Lepisosteus oculatus: one gene and its partner. The main gene of each other region encodes a partner of the protein of the gene in region 2 in a complex. Links are inferred from orthologs where the notes say so. Each region holds a gene or a part of one and is shown on either strand. Other genes may lie near its edges.

Region 1 (7,407 bases), on a different chromosome or scaffold from region 2:
TATACTTATTTGCTTTTACAAATGAACTTTGTTTTATTTAGAACTGTAATGATCAATGTCATATGTGCGGGAGGTTGAAAGTCAGCACAAAAGCTTTGCACAGTGGGATGGGGTATGTTTGTTCATTCCTCCTGACAAACGTATTTCACTCCTAACAAGTCGACTGGGGAGAATTCACAGTCAACAATCGTCAAGCAAACCTTGTCACAAACTTTCTATTGGATTCGTATCAGAACATTGAAGTTTGCGGAGCAGTGGCACTGTGGCTAAGGATCTGCGCCTGTGGCTGGAAGGTTGCCGGTTCGTATCCCGTGGCCGGCAGAGGAATCCTACTCCGTTGGGCCCCTGAGCAAGGCCCTTAACCCCAACTGCTCCAGGGGCGCCGTATAAATGGCTGACCCTGCGCTCTGACCCCAAGCTTCTCTCCTCGTCTGTGTGTCTCATGGAGAGCAAGCTGGGGTATGCAAAAAGACGAATTCCTAATGTAAGAAATTCTATATGGCCAATAAAGTGATCTTAACTAACTTAAACATTCATTCCATTGTTGTCGGACCACTTCATTGTGCTTTGGCCCTGTACTGAAATGTGATTTTAGAACCGATTTTAGATTCTTGGGCAACTAAAACAAGTACTGTATTTCTCAAGACTTTGCTCCATCTATTTTCCCCTTAGTCTTGACATGCGTCTCCACTGAAGAGAAGCAGCCCCGTAACTTGATGCTGTTACCAGCATACTTGAGAGCTGGGGTGGAGTTGACTGGGTAATGTGTTGTATTGGGCCTGCATCAGATGTAACTCTTTGCATTTAGACTACAAAAACATCAGTTTTTGTCTAATTTGATCATAAACCCTTCTGTTACCCTCCATGTCTGCATTGTATTTTCTAGAAGATTTGAGATGAATTGTTTGCAGGAATGTCTTCTGTCATTGCTTTCACCCATAGAGACTACCTCATGCTGGGAACAGTGATAGTGTATGAACAACAACTCCCATTCTAGACAAAAGAAACTGCAAATATTTCAAAATCACTGTTGGCTTCACAGTTACTTTACTAACCACTTACCTGCTTGCTCAGCTGCTGAGTTTGTGTCTTGGTAATATGCTGCAAATTCCAGTCCAGTTGTCAATAATGAACTTCACTGAATTAAACTAGCTTTCTTCTACTCTATGCCTTTATCAGTTTATGCATAATTTGTTTCAACAACTCCTTGGTTTTCATGGTCAATTTGGTGTGTCACAATATGAGCTTGAAATGGCTTGAAATGCAGTATCTGACTGAACTTACAGAGACAGATGCAGTTACTCTGAACTGGTCAATTCACACCACTTTGATTACACACAGACAGGGAACGTTGCATGAATGCTGTGATCTTTCAGACTGTTATTTTGCACCTCAACTGATTTAGGTCTTCCGTAATAAAGAGGGTTGAATACTTATGCAACTGAGAATCTTCTCATTTTCTATAAAGATCTCATTTATTTGCTCGCCATCAGCATTTTTACCTTTACCAGTTTGAAGTAGACTCTGTAGATTTGTTGTACTGTTATTGCAAGCTCAGACAGAAACAAAATGTAGAAGCTTTGCGGTGGGTGAATAATTGTGCAAGGCACTGTAATCAGAAAAGCAAGAAACACTTCATTAATTAATGCATCTTTTTACCTTGCGTTGATAAGTTGCACAGACCATAATGTTCTGTTTTCTCCATCACTCACAACAACAGTTGTTAAGAAACACTCAGAGGAAAATGAATGGAACAATTTTCTTCTAGGTTTTCATGTTTGGTTTGCAATTGAAGCCTTTCACAAGGCCCAGGGGTATGTTAAAAACCACATGCCTCCAAGGCTCACTTTTACTCCAAACAACACTGCAGCTTAATGAAAACAACCCCTCACTTCATAACAACCCTGAATGGTTTCAAGTTAGATAACACCAATAGAAAATATCAAATACATGCACTGATTCATAAAATTACAGTAGCTGTAGAAGCAACAGACAGGATCTTGTATGGACCAGACATGTACCATGCACAGGTACTGTATACAGTAGGTATCCAATATGAATTAGTTGGACTAGTGCACAAATATTCCAGTTCTCAGATATAAACTGCTTATACAGCAGAGAGGACAAATGTGTGCCCACTCATTGAAACAGAACCATACAATTGGATTAAAATGGATGACCTTGTGTTGACAGTGGTGATATTGATATCTGATTACAATCTTTTCTTCCCATCTAAAGTGCATTCTCAATTCAATGATACAAGGCTGTTTCTCATTTCTTTAGCTCACCCGCTGTGCAGTGGGTGATCTGCTATCCTATGGCTACCACACATCGCCAGGATACCACCTTCACTGCTCGCAGAGGGGCTAAATGGGCCAAAGGACCTCTTCTTTGCTGAATGGACTGGGTCACCTCCTACATGAAAAGTGCTTTCTAAAATGTCGAATAAACTCAAATACTGTAAGTATATTTATGGTGGTCTGCTTGAAACCTGGGACAACAGTGTAAGCTTCCAGAGCTACAAAAGGCTTTTCTCGGGGGCTGATTATAACATCTAAAGTGGAATTACGAATCAGAAAAGAGCTTCAACAATACAATTTATTGTTAAAGAGGCAACTTACTCAACCATGGACACGAACATTAATTGTGAGCATTAAACTAAAAAATGGCAGCAAGACAATATTTTATACACTGTAAGTATCAATATCTTTTGGTAATTTTCTTGGCAGTAAGAACTATAGAGGCTTGTACTCTCAGTGGTTATGGAAACTTAACCTTTGAGTACAATAAACTGCATAGAGGGGTAATGTGTCAACGTTTATATATTACTTACTCAACAAACATTCCAATAAAGAGAAAGATTAGCTCCGTGCTGAAATGACAAAAAAAAACAATTATACCTGTGGAACCCTCTTTAGGTAAGAGAATATTTACCAATTTTTTTTTTATGTACCACCATAGATGTGACGACCATAATTTGTAAACCTTTTGTGCATACGTTTGGGGACCCCTGTATCTACTGTTTTTTATCATTCTTACTGTAATCTTGTCATTGATCTGCTTGCTTGTCTTGACTTTTTTTCTGCACTCTGCCTGGATTAAAACAAACAACAAATCAGTCATTAAGAATTTGCTCCCTTCTTTCTGATCCGAAACCTCTTCAAAGTCAATCATCGGATGCTGAACGGACGCGGAATGTCACTGTGTAAACGGGCCCATCACGACCGTTTGCTTCTTCCTTCCACTTAAGTCCTGCTGGTTATGTTTCAGCTCACACAGCGGAACGAGAGGCATCCTGAAACTGAAAACGGCTCAGGGTTGATACCACTTTCAAATGCCATGTGACTTTTTATAAGGGCTGAATGAAAATTTGCCAGACACACTTCAAACGGGACAGTGAGAGCCTTTTGACTGCGACGAAGAAATATTTCGCTGGGTCAAAAGCCAAAGGACACAGCGGTCCTTCAGGACCAGAGCTGAGAATCACTGGCCTGTTTCCTCCATGGGTATTCTTTTTATTATTATTTATTTTGTACTTTATGGGTACTTCCACGGAAAACACAGGCTGCGTAACAAAATACCACCACACAGTATGATGCCAATAATGCAACACTCCTTACATCGTATCTCAAACATATCTGAAACCATGAAGAGCCACATCAGGTTTGGCAGTGACAAATCTACCACCAGGATAAAAGTTACGGTATTGAATGACATATTAGTATATGTAATAGTATATTATGTGTAATAGAATATGCTCCAGTATGCAATATACATCAAGGCTGTGCATTTCTTCCTTACCTTTTATAAGCAATTCCAACCTGAAGGTAGAAAAAGCAGCATTTCAGCTGTGGAGCCTTCTTCAGGTGTGAAGGCTTTTAAATACAAGGTCTCGATAATTTGAGACCAGAGTTGGATGCAGCCTTTACGTGTTCCTTTGCAGCTTGGACACTGATGCAGTTCCCTATTAAAACCATTCCTACTGGACTGAGATGAACTAATTTACCCATTAAATGTATTATGTTACTGGGAAAGGGAGGTGTGAGAATCCAACAACAACACTGTGTAGTAGTAACTTGGAGATTTCAGGGACTCAAGTCTCATTCCAAGTTTCAAGGACTGTCAGTGACCCCCATGAAATGACTTCAGAATGAAGCAAATGGGTTCTTGTGAAATCACTGAAAAGTTGGCTTTTGTTCCCATTAAATGTGAAAAATGGGTTCAGCGTTGAAATATAAAAGTCTGCTTTACAGTAACGTCTTAATGTTTCATGTACAGCAGGAATTCACCTTCGCTCTCAAGATGAATAAGAACCCAGGTGCTCCCACACAGTCTCTACCTGCACCTACAAGACCCACGACTACACTCCTTTCCCCATCGCCCATCTCCCACTCACACCCACTGTGCTGCCGATCATGTTGTCTTCCTGGCCAGCCACATTAGGATACACAAGAAATGACCACTGGACGTGTTGAAAAAATCCCGAATGTCAAATTCTGTGATTGCACTTCGATCTCCCTAACAACCTCAGCCTCTGGGCAGTTGTTGCTTTTTACTTACTGCTTTTTTTGCTTTTTACTTATTGCTTTCTAAACTACTTGGGGAAAATCAATTATCATTGTCAATGGCAAGATACATAGAAACGCGAGATTTGCAAGAAACACATGCAGTATAGCAGGATCCATACTCATGGAACGCTCCATTGGAAATATCCTTACCTAGAAACCACTAGTAGCTGCTGACTGTGGGGCGTCCGTAAAGTGATGTTGGCTTTTGAAAAAGTTCATGATTCAGTGAAGTATACAGCAAAATGTAAAACCAATGCTTATTTAACTGAACTGATATATGCAATTATGACTAAAATATGCAATCAGAAACAAAAACAACATGCAAATACGCACCTCCAAATGCCAATACAAAGCACTGTCGCTTAAGAATGTGTAACACAAAGTCAACTTGACCAAAGACATCAGAAAAAAAAATGAAGGCGATTTAAAATTACAAGTAAAAATTACGAAAAAACAGTCATGCTGTTTAAGATGGGCTAAAGATTAAAAAGACTATTTATATTTTAGAACAGATTAAACGTTAACCTCAAAAGAGGATGGCTGAGACACAGTAACATCTGCACACAAGACAATGGCCTAACGACAGTAACGACAGACAAGCACCCAAATTAAATCAGCAGTCACTCAGGAGCTGCACTGTGATAGGAAGGAGAGAAACTTCAGAGATAATGAAAGAATTTGGCTGAATAGTTCCATTAATGTGGAGAGGAAGCTGAATACCCTTTTTACCTAACCTGTATTGAGACATTCAAATTCATACAGATTGTTCAGGTGGTCCCTAGGAAAAACATTTTCCTTGTAGTACAGTATATACAGTATGGACAGGATCTGGCAAAATTATTCACACCCTTGCATAGTCTTTATATTTTGTTTCTTTAATTAAAAATGGAAATGTCATGATAGTGAAAAATCAAATTAACAACCCACACAGTTAGTTAAGTGGTCTCTGTGTGGAATAATAGTGGTTCACAACTATTTCAGGGTAAATACATCCATCTCTGTGAGGTCCCCCAGTCAGGTAGTATATTTCAAGTTTATATTTGAACCATGAAGGCAAATACACATTCAAAACAACTGAGGGATAAAGATGTAGAAAGGTACAGAGCAAAAAAGGGGATACAAATCTTTCAAAGACTAAAAATTAATATCTCTTTGAGCATGGTGAAGGCAATCATTAAGAGGTGGAAGGCACCCAGACACTGTCTAGGTCAGGCTGCCCCTCTATACTGAGCAGCCAGGCAGGGAGGAAGATGGTTAAGGATGCCACCATGAGGCCACCTGACACTTTGACAGAGAATTCCATGACCATGAGAGGAGATAATGTTCATTGGTCATCAACATCCCAATCATTCCACAAAAGAAGCATTCTTATCATTTTTGGTCTAAATGAAGTCGCATCTAACACATACCCAACACAGAGCTTCACTCAGATAATACCATCCCGACTGTCAAGAATGATGGGGGCGACTTTATGTGACAGTTCTGTTTCTCATCAGCAGGTACTGGGGTGCTTGTCAAGACTGAAGAGAACATAAATAGAGCAAAATACTTAGTGGAAAACCAGCTTCAGATCTAAAACTGGGACAAAAATTCACCTTTCTGCAGGACAGCTATCTAAAGTACAAGGCCAAAACTACACTGAAGTGGCTTATGAATAAGAAAGTTAATACCCTTGAGTAACCAAGTCAAAGTCCTGACCTGAGTCCTATTAAGGACATGTGGAAAGAAACTGCTGTCCATAAGTTATCCCCAAGGAACTTGAGAGAGGTTAAGCAAATCTGCCAGGATGAATGGGCAGGTTCTGCACCAAGCTGATACTCTGCACCAAGGTTATACTCTATACTCTGCAAGAAGACGTGCAGATACAAGCAGTGCCAAACACAATCAACATATTTCATTTCTTCCTCTTAAGAATTTAAGTTTAAACCATTGTGTATGCATCACTTTGTAGCTTCAAAAGCCGGATACCATAGGTGGAGTCTGAATGCGTCACAGGCCACAGATGATTTTGACGAAGAACGGATTGAACACACAAGAGACGCACACCAGCTTCAGACACAAAATTTGTCAGAGGAGAGTGGCATTAATATTGCACTCACGTGTAAAAATGTGCCATAAAGAAGGCCGCAAGTGCAGAATTGCGACTTCTGACCACAGCTGGCAGCTCCCAGATGGCAACCGAGCGTAGCTATGCCAGCCAAAATCAGTTGTATGCCTTCCAACTAAAACTGCCAGGTTACTGCTCCTGCTGTTGGCTGCCTCATAAACACTATAATGGCTTAACACCAACCAGACAAAGTGCTAAAGATAAACAACTCAATTCCTGACTGTTGCAGCTTCTCAATAAATGTGATTTACAAGTATTGTCCTCAGACTCCACGGCCCCCACCTGCAGTCTAAGTTGGATGGCAAATGCCTGGAGAGGGAGGGAAGAGCACAGGAGGGGATCCTCTGTAGGCCCACAGGGAACAACTCGCCTGTTATCTCCCCATGCCCATCAGTCAAGGCTCACTGGCAGGTTGCTGCCTTGCACTGGGAATGAACTGACTGTCACCATTCACTGCAACACTGAATGGGAACTGACAGCAGAAAGGCAGGCTTGGCTGTGCCCCACACAGACATCTCTGTAAACGTGCAGTCACCTTTTAAAATTAGAAAGTTGAACAAGTCAAGTAAAACAAGAACAAGCAGATAAGATGCACGTAGAGGAGTGTGAGAAGCCCTTAATTATAGGACTTGAAAGCTTGTCCTGTTCTACACAAGACCTAAAATAATCCATATATTTTCATAGAAGTTCCCATGTTTCAACTAAATGATTCTTCACTGTACTGCATGGTCT
Region 2 (7,744 bases):
GGCTGTTAGGCACGGAACCTGTCGTTCTTCTGGAGTCTCTCTGCTCCTGGTGTGTTTCTTACCCCACTCTCGAATTGACTGAAGGAGTTGTATGGGCATTGACGAAGCAGTAACATTTAGCGAGCAGCCATGGCGAGCCCCCTCTGACTCTCTCACAGGGGGAAGACGCGGCAGCCTCAGTCTGTCCTCCACCTGCAGTTGGGGGTGCAGCACCGACACTGGGTCCTGGGTGGCAGACAGGGAGAGGCAGGGAGTGAGCTGGCCGGACCTGGCGAGAGGGGCATCTCTGGACATGGGAGGCCTGGACACCCAGCGGAACCTGCAGAGAGGAGAAGAGGAGGAGAGAGGCAGGCCTGGAGGAGGAGGAGGAGGAGGAGGAAGAGGACAGTCTCCTGCTAACAGCATGCTGACGTTCCACGAGGAAAACAGGGTGTGAGAGACAGGAGGCGGAGGGGGTTGGGGGTTAAAGAAGGAAACAGAAGAAAAGGAGAGAGGGAGGGAGAGGAAGGTAGGGAAGGAGAGGAAGAGGCACTGGGATTGAGAGAAAGAGGAGGAAAGAACAGGGCAGCGAGGTAAGGGGAGCTCCTGAGATGTCATTTGTATGATGCACCATACCGGTACAAACATCCTGGATTTGAAAGCTCATGTCGAATCAGAGGGAATCGAAAGATTTTCTCACGTTTAAACAGCTTTGTTGGCATGGCTGGTATATTACAGGTGTTGCCAAAGCATATACAGTCAATAACACCTCTACAGATATTTTAAATGCAAACACATCATAGGAAATTAACATACAACATATAGAATATTATTGAAAGTTGTGTTCACTGTTTCTCAAGAGACAGGCTCACTCTCTGTTCCTCAGGCTGGGACAGGAGATCACACACTGTATTATTATTATTATTATTATTATTATTATTATTATTGAGACTGGCTCACTGTCTGTTCCTCAGGCTGGGACAGGAGATCACACACTGTATTATTAATATTGAGAGACAGGCTCGCTGTCTGTTCCTCAGGCTGGGACAGGAGATCACACACTGTATTATTATTATTATTGAGACAGGCTCACTGTCTGTTCCTCAGGCTGGGACAGGAGATCACACACTGTATTGTTATTATTATTGAACTTGAACTTGAACTTTATTGCCATATGTAACCGGTACTGGTACAATGGAATTCTTACTTACAGAAAGTCTCTCGATTGTAAAACAAGTGTAAAAAACCAAACAAAGTGCAAACTGTGCATCAAGACAATATACAAACAAACAGTAGACAATGTACAAGTAAACATGTAGACAGTTTGAATGTAAACAATACAGACGTGTAAACAATGACTGGAGATGTGCAATAAATAAGAAATCATTAAGAGGTAGATGGTGATGGTGTAGGTGTGGTCCGAGGGGGATGGCTAAATGTGTTTGCCAATCTCACTGCTTGTGGATAGAAGCTATTGAAGAATCTAGTGGTAAGTGTCCGTATGCTCTTATATCTCTTGCCTGAGGGCAGTGGGGTGAAGAGCTCATGCCCGGGGTGGTGACTGTCCTCTGTGATGGCCAGAATTCTACCACGGCAGCAGTCCTCAAAGAGCTGTTTAATCTCGGTGAGACCGCAGCCGATGATCTTCTGGGCCATATTGACCATTCTCTGCAGTGCCTTTCTTTCTCGTGAAGAGGTGTTGCCATACCACACGGTGATCCCGTTGGTGAGGACGCTCTCGATGGTGCAGCGGTAGAAGTTCACCAACACATGTATTGGCATCCCCCATCGCTTGAGGCACCTCAAGAAATAAAGGCGCTGCTGAGCCTTCTTCATGATAGAGTCAGTGTTCACAGTCCAGGTTAGATCTTTAGAGATGTGAATTCCCAAAAACCTAAAGCTGGTGAATGTTTCCACTTCCGTTCCATCAATACTGAGTGGGCTGTGAGTGTGTGGCCTGTGTCTCCGAAAGTCCACTATTAGCTCCTTCGTTTTCTTTATGTTCAAGTCCAGGTTATTGCTATGACACCACCTAAGCAGCTGTACGACTTCATCCCTGTAAGTGGACTCGTCATCATCACTGATCAGTCCTATTATAGTGGTGTCATCGGCAAACTTAATGATGCGGTTGTTGCTGTGTCTTGCTGTGCAGTCGTGAGTGAACAGGGAGTACAACCTTGGACTCAGACAGCAGCCTTGTGGGGTTCCAGTGCTCAGGGTGAGTGGTGTTGATGTTTTATTGCCTATCCGCACCACCTGTGGTCTCTCGATAAGAAAGTCCAGCAGCCAGTTGCAGACAGAGTTGCACAGACCTAATCCCCTGAGCTTTGTCACCAGTTGACTGGGTATGATGGAATTGAATGCTGAACTGTAGTCCACAAACAGCATTCTCACATACGAGTTCTTAGTGTCCAGGTGTTCCAAGGCTGTATGAAGAGCCAGGGAGACAACATCATCCACTGATCTGTTGTTCTGGTAGGCGAACTGCAAGGGGTCCAGGGATTCTGTGATGGAGGAGTTGATGTGTGACAACACCAGCTTCTCCAGGCATTTCATCACCACAGATGTTAATGCTACTGGGTGGTAATCATATTGAGAGACAGGCTCACTGTCTGTTCCTCAGGCTGGGACAGGAGATCACACTCTGTAATGCAACTCTGTTGAGTCCCCCCCTCCCAGTATGACTGGAAACCGTTCTGATTCTGGCAGGTGTGGGAATTCTGGGATAAGATTAATCATTTTAGGGAAGCATGTCTGTCTGATCCCAGAGTATTTCTCACAGTGCAGCAGAAAAGTGCATCTCTGCCTCTGCTTGTCGGCACTGGTAGTGGGAGCACAGTCTGCATTTTTCTTCCCCTCTCTCAGCATTTGCACTTGTCTACAGTATCCTTCTGCCTGCATCTCAGTCTCCGTTTTCTTCCATGCTGGCTATGCTAGCTGACTGATGGACAAGAATATTCACAATGAACAGAAAGATCCTAAACTGTCATTTGTCTTTCAACTGGGTATGATGTAATTCATCCATCCTTTAATTCAACCAGTCCAGAGACTGGGGGGGACCCAGAGCCTAACGGGTGCCAGGCGGGGTACACCCTGCTTGATGAGGACGCCAGTCCACAGACACAGACTCACACTGGGGTCAATTTTTACCAGAAGCCAATTAACCGACCACTATGTCTTTGGCCTCTGGGAGGAAACCCGAGCTCCCTGTGGAAACCTACAGGAAAATGGGGAGAACATGCAAACTCTACACAGACAGCACCCCAATTCTGGATTCGAACCCAGGGCTGCAAGTTAGCAACGCTGACCACTGTACCATCACTTTGCTTCACGTACACAACGCCTCCACTCGGCCAGGACTAAAGACCAAATAGATTCAGTTCTTTTCCCTAGTCGGTACAGAACATTTCTTTGACTGTATGAATGTTTCTAGTGACTTTTTTTTGGCTAGACTTTAAAAAAAAAATGTCTTAGGACCCCTCTTCTTATAGTGACAACAAACGCTTGGGATTCCAAAAAAAATTAATCTATAAACCAGAAGAGCCCAAAGACGAGTACTGTTCTCCCAGTACTGTCCTTAAAAGTTAATCTGTCTGTGCCCTGCTCTTCCCCAACCCAACTCGGACTCTCGGATACCCAGAGATTCTGAACAGAGAGGCTTTTAAAAACGGCACGGGCGTGAGATTCATCCCTGTCCTTCGGGGCGGCTCTCCGGAACTCTCCTGCAGTGAAGAGAGCCGCACGCCGGCTGGACACGAAGAGGTCATTTTCATTGACCCTGGCCAGCCCCTCATCTCGCACTAACCTAAAATGACTTCGGGATTGTTGCAGCCGCGCACAAGTGATTACAAAAAACAAACTACGCATTCATCAGTCGGCACAGTAAAACCTGGGCACTTGGTGTCCCAAACACGCACCCCTCAGAAAACCACGCACACGCACTGTACAATAATAAGACCGAGCGCCGCAGGCTGCATTCCAGTTGTGTTGACTCACTGACGTCAATGGCATGCTACCGTACTGATCAGATAACACGAGCGATGAAAAATAGGGCTGTTTCTTTGTCCCGGGACATCGTGGCAGCAATATAGGCAAAATGTTCCAAACGCAAAAACCCACAAGGATGCATCCGTTTTCAATAACGGATCAGTCCAGGGTTTCCCAATCTTGGTCTACGGGTTAGCTGAGCTCCTGACTGAAACGAAGCCTTCACTGAACCAGCAAACACGTCGCCTGGTTACAACCTTCGCAAGTTTTTTTTTATCCAGCTCGGAGGGCGGATATTTTAAGTTACTCATGAAATACAATAGTTAAAAGTCAACCTCCTACACGTTTCGGAACTGAGAACACCTACAGAGTTTAAATTGACCTTATTAGTAGGTGCATTCAGGGTGAAATTATTTGAATGACTGCTCATTTGGACCCTTTCTACAATGGTAGGGACGTGCAGACTCCACACAGAAGGACCTCCGGGTCTGGCATCAGAACTGGGGCTCGGGAGCTGTGTCGCGGAGGCGCTATTTAAAACAGCTCGACTTTTTCCAAGCAGCGCGGGGGGGGAGATGCTTGAAAGAGGTTGCTTATACTCGCAGACATACGATGGTGAAAAAGCCGCATTCAGCCATTTTTTTCAAAACAGACAGCAGTCTAGCGAATAACGTTTAGCTGGGCTTCGCATAGTTAGCAGCCAGCTTTAGCGCACTAGTCGTGTGGCTTGGTTACAAAATACGCTTTTATTCCAGCTGTTAGCGGACTTTGCTTGCAGTTTATTGTGTCTGATTTCATCTCGGCGTCTGCCTGCTCTTCTGAATATTCGGATTTAAAAGCATACATACTAAAAATAATTATAATTTTCATGCCCGATTTGGAGCGCTTCAAGCTGACCCATACAATGAATCCTTTATTAAGTGCCAACGTCTTTCTGCTACAGCAACAGCAACAACAGCTTCAGCAACAGCAGCAGGCGGCCCAGCAGGACTCCTCGGGTCTGCTGCCGGACCCGGCTCATGGCGCAGGCGAGCCGGGCTTTCTCTTAAGCGAGCACCAGGGCTTTGCGGCCGACTCCCTCCCGGGGCTCGATTTGAGCTCCCTGCCGCCCGGGCTCGCTTACTTCCACCTCAACAACCCCCTCTACCGGCCCCCGCCTCCTCCCCCGGCCATGGCCCTGCGGAACGACCTGGGCTCCAACATCAGCGTCCTGAAAACGCTCAACCTGCGTTTCCGCTGCTTTCTGGCTAAAGTGCACGAACTGGAGCGGCGGAATAAGATTTTGGAGAAGCAGCTGCAGCAGGCGCTGGAAGCCGGCGGCGGGGGAGGGGGCCTGGGAAACGGAGACGGGAGAAGACCGGAGACCAGGGAGCAAGGCGTCCAGACCGGCTTTGTCGGGCCCATCTCGTTCCGACCCGGCTTGCTCAACTTCCCCAACTCCAACAGCTCGGTCTACCGGGGCCCGAGCGTCTTTACCCCAAGTCTGACCACGGTGCTGACCCTGGAGCCCACGAACCTGAACCCGGACTCGAACTCGAACCCCGATCCGAACTCCAGGTCGACCTCTGCGGCCGACGGGGCCAACGCCAACACCACTACCACCACCACCACCAGCACCAGCACCGGCACCAGTACAGGGACTAGCTGCGGCGTCAACTCCACCACCAACCCGCCGCCCCGGTTCTTGCCCGGGACAATCTGGTCCTACAACCACACTCGCAAAGTTGGCCCGGGTCTGGAAACCCGGGTCACCGGCCCAGGCGTGTCCTGGGTCCACCCGGACGGAGTCGGGGTTCAAATCGATACTATAACACCCGAGATCCGTGCCCTGTACAACGTGCTGGCTAAAGTGAAGCGAGAGAGGGACGAGTACAAGCGAAGGTTGTTATTATTATTATTTTATTGTTGTTATTATTATTGTTATTGTTTTATTGTTACTGTTTAATTCTCCTCTAGGGGCGCCTTACGGCTCTAGCGACATAGTTGTTGTACTATCGTGGCCGTGCTATAACGTTCTCGGGTCGATTTTTGCTTAATAATTGACCGGGATCTAATGCGGGTGTGTGATGGTGTCTCTTTCTAGATGACTTCATCTCTACAGGGTAGCTGTGCATAGGACATCTGCCCATGGGTCCATATGGGGTCTCTCAACTTTTTGTGTAGTAACACACACAGTACATATGTCTTTCAGTAGATCCACAGTGTCCCTTGGCTTAATCAGGGTCACATATCAGCCTCCCGCTGCGCAGCGGTCTGCTCCGCTCCAGGTTTTACCAGCTGCAGGGGCTCTTGTAGGGATGCCAACAGCAGGCATTTCAACACAGGCCTGCCTGCTGCTTTGAGTGTGAGTCAGCTGCCACTGTTAAGCAGGCGAGGTGTGTGCCTCTGGGGTTTTTGGGAAGATGTGTTCTCGTTCTTGGGGAAAGATCTGCTCTTAAACGTGAGGGCGCTAGGGGCCCGGGGAGAGTTTCTGGTCCCGTTCCTGTCACTTCTTGCAGTCGTTACAGAGGAGCTTGGTCATTCCACTAGAAATCCGGGGTGCAAATGTACCTCTGTTGCTTCTAGAGGGAGAGAGTCCGGGCTGCTGCTTTACTGTCACAGGCTGGGCGTGAAACCGGCCAGCTGTTTCTGAGCAATTCCAAATGGGAAGATTGGGGATCCGGCAGACCGACAGGACGACCCCCAACTCTGTGCCCCAAGACTGCCAACAGCCATGTCACCCTGCAGCTCCCAGCTGGCAGCCCCACTGGAGCTCAGCAGTGTGAGTCTGGCCAGTACCTGGATGGGAGACTCCTGGGAGAGCTAAGGCTGCTGCTGGAAGAGGTGTTAGTGGGGCCAGTAGGGGGCGCTCAGCCTGAGGTCTGTGTGGGTCCTAATGCCCCAGTATAGTGACTATACTGTAAAAAGGCACCGTCCTCTGAATGAGACGTAAAACCGGGGTCCTGACTCTCTGTGGTCATTAAAAATCCCAGGGTTTTTCTCGAAAGAGGAGAGGGGGTGTTGGTGGAGGGGAGTCCCATCACCCGTAGAGCACTTTGAGTGGAGTGTCCAGAAAAGAGCTATATAAGTGGAAGGAAATTATTATCTTCTGATTTCTGGCTGAGCTCAGCTCCACCTCGTCTAGGTCGCCCGTAATTTAAGCACACTCAGTGTAAAGACTGGAGTGGGCTTCGAAGCGGTGTAGAGTTTCGGTGCTCATGGAGTTCATCGCTGAGTGACCCCCACGGGCTCCGAGGGTGCCGACGACCGGTCAAGTCCCAGCCGCTGCCTCCGGCTGACCTCTGGCTGCGACCTCGATGGCTGACCGGGATCCGTCACCTCAGCAGAGCAGCAGGCGCCAGCCCGTCCAGCACTTGCCAAATTAAAGTCGCCAATTGGGAAATCACAATTCAGACGTCGCTGGTCCAAAAGTCTCAGGTAGCCAGTGCGGGGAGCTGAGTGCTGAAGTTAAGGTGCAAGAGAGGGGGTGTGTGAACTGGCCATCTGTGCTGCGATCTGGACAAGTTCATCAGCGCACACGTTGATCGCATTGCTCTTTCTTGCCGCGCCAGTAGCAGCACCATGAAGAGCATTAAGAAAGTTGCATCAGAGGTGGGCAGCCTCCTCATCCAGTTCATTGACAAGAGGATCTCACCCAGCCCTTTTCTGGAAATATAGCAGGGTTGTTATAGCATTGGTTCTAAGGATATAGCTGGGCTGTTTGTTCCAGGAGTGGGGAAAATGAGTTTCCTGATGTTTTAACCCATGACTGTGCCGCAGGCCCTGAAGCTGACCTGTG

What was found.
Region 1: the proteins of iffo1b (region 2) and xrcc4 are in contact, whole or in part, in a crystal structure (PDB 6ABO), measured with the Homo sapiens proteins. The link is inferred for Lepisosteus oculatus from reciprocal best matches to the Homo sapiens genes IFFO1 and XRCC4. Residues at the interface, in NP_001317253.1 of Homo sapiens: Arg469, Glu470, Tyr473, Ile477, Gln479, Ile480, Glu481, Glu483, Leu484, Ala487, Lys488, Asp490, Met491, Arg493, His494, Leu495, Tyr498, Met501, Lys505, Leu508, Asp509, Met512, Cys515, Arg516, Leu518, Ile519, Thr520, Gln521; in NP_001304941.1 of Homo sapiens: Trp155, Val158, Gln159, Phe162, Glu163, Cys165, Val166, Lys169, Glu170, Glu173, Leu176, Tyr177, Phe180, Val183, Leu184, Lys187, Lys188, Lys190, Ile191, Leu194, His195, Lys197, Leu198, Ala201, Ala202, Arg205, Glu212.

Annotation. Positions count from the first base shown.
Region 1 is NC_090698.1:70,692,734-70,700,140, reverse strand, and holds the start of xrcc4 (DNA repair protein XRCC4), read right to left. Parts: upstream 3,069-7,407; 5' UTR 3,054-3,068; coding exon 3,040-3,053; intron 2,873-3,039; coding exon 2,834-2,872; intron 1-2,833.
Region 2 is NC_090718.1:3,679,868-3,687,611, forward strand, and holds the start of iffo1b (non-homologous end joining factor IFFO1), read left to right. Parts: upstream 1-4,545; 5' UTR 4,546-4,834; coding exon 4,835-5,847; intron 5,848-7,744. Other genes in the region: opn9 (opsin 9), read left to right, coding at 159-436. UniProt on the Homo sapiens protein: Nuclear matrix protein involved in the immobilization of broken DNA ends and the suppression of chromosome translocation during DNA double-strand breaks (DSBs).